Linked DNA regions of Kluyveromyces lactis. The protein of the gene in region 2 binds, or shares a complex with, the protein of the main gene of each other region. Links are inferred from orthologs where the notes say so. Each region holds a gene or a part of one and is shown on either strand. Other genes may lie near its edges.

The links.
Region 1: RPC37 (region 2) and RPB5 share a complex: the UniProt entries of both Saccharomyces cerevisiae proteins name them as parts of the RNA polymerase III (Pol III) complex. The link is inferred for Kluyveromyces lactis from reciprocal best matches to the Saccharomyces cerevisiae genes RPC37 and RPB5.

The regions. Positions count from the first base shown.
Region 1 is NC_006042.1:1,968,049-1,970,736, reverse strand, and holds RPB5 (DNA-directed RNA polymerase core subunit RPB5), read right to left. Parts: upstream 1,160-2,688; coding exon 512-1,159; downstream 1-511. Other genes in the region: RIB7 (2,5-diamino-6-(ribosylamino)-4(3H)-pyrimidinone 5'-phosphate reductase), read left to right, coding at 1-250; DUF1 (Duf1p), read right to left, coding at 1,701-2,688. UniProt on the Saccharomyces cerevisiae protein: DNA-dependent RNA polymerases catalyze the transcription of DNA into RNA using the four ribonucleoside triphosphates as substrates.
Region 2 is NC_006042.1:1,291,701-1,294,176, forward strand, and holds RPC37 (DNA-directed RNA polymerase III subunit C37), read left to right. Parts: upstream 1-1,175; coding exon 1,176-1,934; downstream 1,935-2,476. Other genes in the region: DBP7 (putative ATP-dependent RNA helicase), read right to left, coding at 1-528; GCN3 (translation initiation factor eIF2B subunit alpha), read right to left, coding at 1,995-2,476. UniProt on the Saccharomyces cerevisiae protein: DNA-dependent RNA polymerase catalyzes the transcription of DNA into RNA using the four ribonucleoside triphosphates as substrates. Specific peripheric component of RNA polymerase III which synthesizes small RNAs, such as 5S rRNA and tRNAs.

The sequences.
Region 1 (2,688 bases), about 680 kb from region 2:
TTTGTTCATCCAATTGAAATCTCAATTCGGATTAAAATCCATCATGGTTGAAGGTGGTGGGATTGTTATCAATGATTTGCTACAGAGACCACACCTTATCGATGCCCTGGTCATCACCGTTGGTGCCACCTTCTTGGGTAGTGAGGGTGTTGAAGTGTCTCCTCTTATTGAAATTAATTTGAAAGATATCTCCTGGTGGAAGGGAACAAGGGATAGCGTGTTATGTTCACGTCTTGTGAGCCATTCCTGATCTTTACCTGTTTTCCTAAAAATTCGAATTCTTATATCAATGAACTCTCTTAATTCAGACATGCTATGTTCAAAACGTGATTAATCATTTCCTTAAATAATTGAAAAAAGAATCGTAATTAGATTATGATATCCCCTGATGGGTTCTCATACGAAGAGTGTGTTTAAGGCCCTATTAGTTTCTCTTGCTCTAATTTGGTCTATTATTATACACACGCATTTACTTTACTTAGGGTTGGGGAATGGCTCTTTTTAATTGCTCTTATAAACAGATTCTGTAACTTGCGTAACGTCCAGAAGTTTCAGACTTTCTAATAATTTTTATAACCTCGCCTCTTTTCAAACCAAGGTATAATGCTACTGGGTCCATTCTTTGGATTCTAGGCAATTGAGATTCCTTTAATCTATATCTTTTTAATAATTCCTTCTTTTCAGCCTCACTTAACCTGATATGCTTTGGGACTAGTTCGTGATGTGTAATATTGACAACCAAAGATGCTTCTGGGAAAGTCTCGATGACTGCTGGTGCTGCAGTTGGTAAAATCTTGTTTGCACTTGGAGTAATACCACTTTGATAGATGAATATACCAGTTTGGAAGTTCTTTTCCGTAATATGAACCACAAAATTCTTCATCGTCTTCACACCAACAGATGCTTCATCACAGAATTCCACCCATAATGAACCCATCTCAGGAAATTTTTCTATTGATTCTTCGGTTGGATTGGACTGGAAAGACATCATCTTACGTTGTGGCTTGCCCATAGAATCACAGTATTTAGCCTTAAAATCTTCTAAACTCAAATCTATTTCCTCCTGGGTAATGAAATATCCACGGTCCCTAACCATTTCCTTCACCGTTTTAAAAGCTCTCCATAGCCTGGAAATGTTTCTCTCCTGCTCTTGATCCATTGTTACAAAAATTGTGCGTCACTTGCCTTTGATATCTTATGAAACTAACTTTTTCCGCTTGAAGATTAGTTCGTATTAAATTCTAAAATGCACAAACAAGTACTAAGAACTCAATTATCGATATGCACAAACAAGTACTAAGAACTCAATTATCGATATGCAAACTAATCTTACCCCTTAATTTCAACCGGTACAAGGACTATTCGGCTACCTAACTTCAATCTTTTCTTAAATTTCAATCAACAAATTAATGGATTTGTTTCTCATCGCTTTCTAAATTTTGGAAAATTTTGGCTGAAAAGAAAAAGAAAAACTTCAACAAACCTTCGAAATTTCAATGCGATGAAAGAAGGAAACAGAGCCAAACCATCAAACTCGTCCTTCATGATTTCAGTCACGTGCCTGTCTTGTGTTGGTATGGAATGCTCTGAGTCAAGGGCGGCAGGTGTAGTTCTATGTTTGTATATATGTCTATATTTAGTTATATATATATATATTGATAAGCCTGGGTGAGAACTTAGTCTCACAGTCTCTCTTAATTTTAAGTCGGTTTACGTCTATATTCAAGAACAATGTCTGTGTTTGATTTCCAGTATAAAGTGCGTATAGCACTCAGGGTGATATCGTTTTCTAGTACTGTTCCTTTGCACAAGATTTCTAACCATTCGCTTGGATCTTCTTTGTTTTTCATCTCAGGTGTCTTTGATTCGAATCTATCCACTATGTAAGTCTTGATCTTTTTTGCCTTTATCATATTTGCAGCTGTTAATCTAACATTGCTATCGTTAATCTTCGGTAGCATTAAGGGTGATTCAGGTGGTTTAGATTTTTTGTGGAACCCTGATCTTTTATGTTCTACTACTAGTCTTTCAGCCTCTGGCGATTGTTGCGTTTCCTCCGATAAATGAGCCTCGTCCTTCCAAGGCTGGATGATGAATGTGATTTTTGGGTACGTCTTAATGACTTTATCCTCTTTGAAAAGAATCTTTCCAAGCCATATCGGGAGATGTCTTTCTAATGATTCATAAGTATGGTAGTTATCGATCAAGTCGTTTGCCGTATATGTAGGGGGTGGGAGATATGTGGAAAATGCAATAGTTTCCCCTGTGGACCCCTCTTTCCAATGGTTGACCGTGAGAATGCATCCACTCTTGATTTGTATCACGGGTCTAGTTGAGTCTCTGATGAACAAAGTCTCGGGGATCCGCCTCCCAAACTTCATGAACGTTGATGAGGAGTTTGGAGCCTGTTTCAAATAAGCGTGATAAACTTCTTCGATATATTCGTTCAAGAAAAGTCCTGGCTTTCGTTCAGACAGATCTTTGGAAAAACTCTTTGAATTGAATTTGAAGTTCACTTCACCATTCCCAGTAGAAGAGATACTATGAAGGTCATCGATGCTGTTAGTTTCTAGTTTTACCCTCGATGATCTGTTATGGAAACCAAATGTGCTTGAAGGTGTAGCAGATCTCTCGATACTTTGTTCAGTAACAGACCTTGTCAAAGTGAGGTTCGCCGGTTTCGATGAA
Region 2 (2,476 bases):
AATCTTAGTTGGCTTAGAAATCTTCATCTTGACGTTTAAGTGTGAAACCATCGTGTCAGTGATACCGAACGAATCGAAGGTGTCACCAACCAATGGTGCATTGGAATAAGTCACTTCGGCTTTTTCATCATGAGCATTACTATTGGTAACTGTGTCAATATTTCTACTGGACGTGAACAAAGAGGAAACGATTTGCGAGTTTAGCTGTAATGGTTGCGTTACCCTAGCTGGTTGTTCTACATTAGAACTGTTATCAAATCTTGATCTCTTAGGTTCTACAGGTGCCTGTGCCGAAGTTGAATTCGAAGAGGAGGCTTCCAATTCTTCAAAAGTTGGTGCTCCATCAGATTCTAATGGTCTCTTTTCACCCCTGACCCTCGGTTTACGACCTTCCATCATCATTTTGGCCTTTCTCCTGTCCTTCCATTTACCACCGGTAATTTTACCTCTACTGACTGTTTCACTAGCATCACTAACGTCAGTTGTAAAATTTAACAGCATTCCATCATCGTCATCATTGAAACTCATCTTTACCTACTTGATGATCGTTGATATGGGCTGCTGAGCGACGTACAGAGACTTTCACTTCATCTAATGTCAGCTCATCGCACAGTTAAGTCCTACTTCCATATTAAAATTTTCTATGCTTGATGTCAAGAAAAAGCAATACAAAGGTAAATACTCACAGAATTGGATAAAATACAGTTAGATTGGCGACTATCAGGATCGTTTGAACTGGACATTTGACACTGTAGTGGTTCGTGCTATGTACAGGTCATGTTATGTGCTGAAATTGATATCTCTTTGGTTTCATTACTGATTCAATTCTACAAACCTTGTCTGAAGTTTAATGTTAAAGCATATTATATACACGTAGAAAGGCAGATGGACAGAGACAAAAGTCGCTTATGACAAATATTAATAAGGTGGTGATGAAATACTCGCCCAGCCGGTATGGAACCAGTTGGAAGGTGATAAACCATCCTTTTACAGACGCTTCTCTCTTCTTGTTTCAATGATCACAAGACACGGCTCATCGCATCGATTGAAATTTTGACATTTCGGATGAGAAGGCTCACTCATTAGTACAACTAATGAGTGTTGAACCACTTGTACAACCAACTATTGTCCTGTTTCTATCCAGGTATCTGTAAGAGGGTGTCAGTGGTCTCAAAATGTCTAATGGTTTGTTTGTTACCGATGAGGACGGTGATACTGAGATGAATGGGAACGGTAAACTCGATAAGAAGCTCCAATCATCAGAGATTCTTAAAGAAGACGATCCAGTAGTGAATGAAATACCCATTAATTTAACGGTTGGACCTTGTCCATTGCATGTGTTACAGTTTCCTAACAAACCTAAAAGACTGGCGAAGAATATGGATGAACATCCTCCAATTGCTGGTGTACGCTATAAGGATGAATCAAGCGTTTGGGAGATAGATATCCCATTGAATACACAGGTCTTCTTCGACAAAGAAAAAGCTGCTGAGTCTTGGAACAATGTCGACGTTCAAACTTTGAAAGGTGTGGCTGTAAGCAACGACATGTTGCAATACGCAGGCGTTATGAAACAAGGACAGCTATATTTAATACCAGTAGAGAAAGTTGCCCAAATGAGACCATACTTCCGTTACATCGATTCGCATCAACAGGTTAAGAAGGACGAGGATGCCAAGGCGAAACCTGCGAATCCAACTGCCAAGAAAAACCAGGTAATAACAATGTCAGTGAAGAGTAGCAGCGAAGCGAATCAAAATAGACTAGGAGGTGCATTGCTAGCTCATAAGGTAGCAGACGAAGAGGAATTCAAACCTTTGGAATGGAAGGACGATACTTTCGAATCGTTTGTAGAAGAAGTTACAAGTGAAAAAAGTACTGTACCATTAAAACCAATGGACAACGACGCTGTGTATCTATCAAAACTATTTTAATTAATTATCGTATTTAGTAAGTATAAATATATATTAAACCGAGAAGGGATCAAATTCTCCTTAATCATACCACATCTTAATCAACTCCTCAGAAACAGCACTAGGTGTCAACCCTCCAAGATCAGTGATCAAAGCTGTGATGTATTCTTGACTTGTAAAGTCGACAGAAGGCCCACTCAATGGTTCTTCATCGTCTTCTATACCGTTTTTGCTAAAATCTAATGGATCTCTTTCCATTGGAATATCATCTGACGAAAGAGGGAACATACGTACGAACTTATGCGACTCACTAACCACATAGAATGGTTTCCTTGCATTCTTCGCCAAGACACCGATAGAATACGTTCCTACTAGATTGATAATACCTCCAGATTCAGCAACACCTTCGGCTCCCACAAAGATCTTGTTTACCTTATGGATGATCGTACCAACAGCATTATCTACAATCATTGTCACTGGGATACCCTTCTTTTTAAGTAAATGATACAGTTGCAACCCTTGGCCAGACGGTCTGGATTCAGTGACGATACATCTAAATCTGA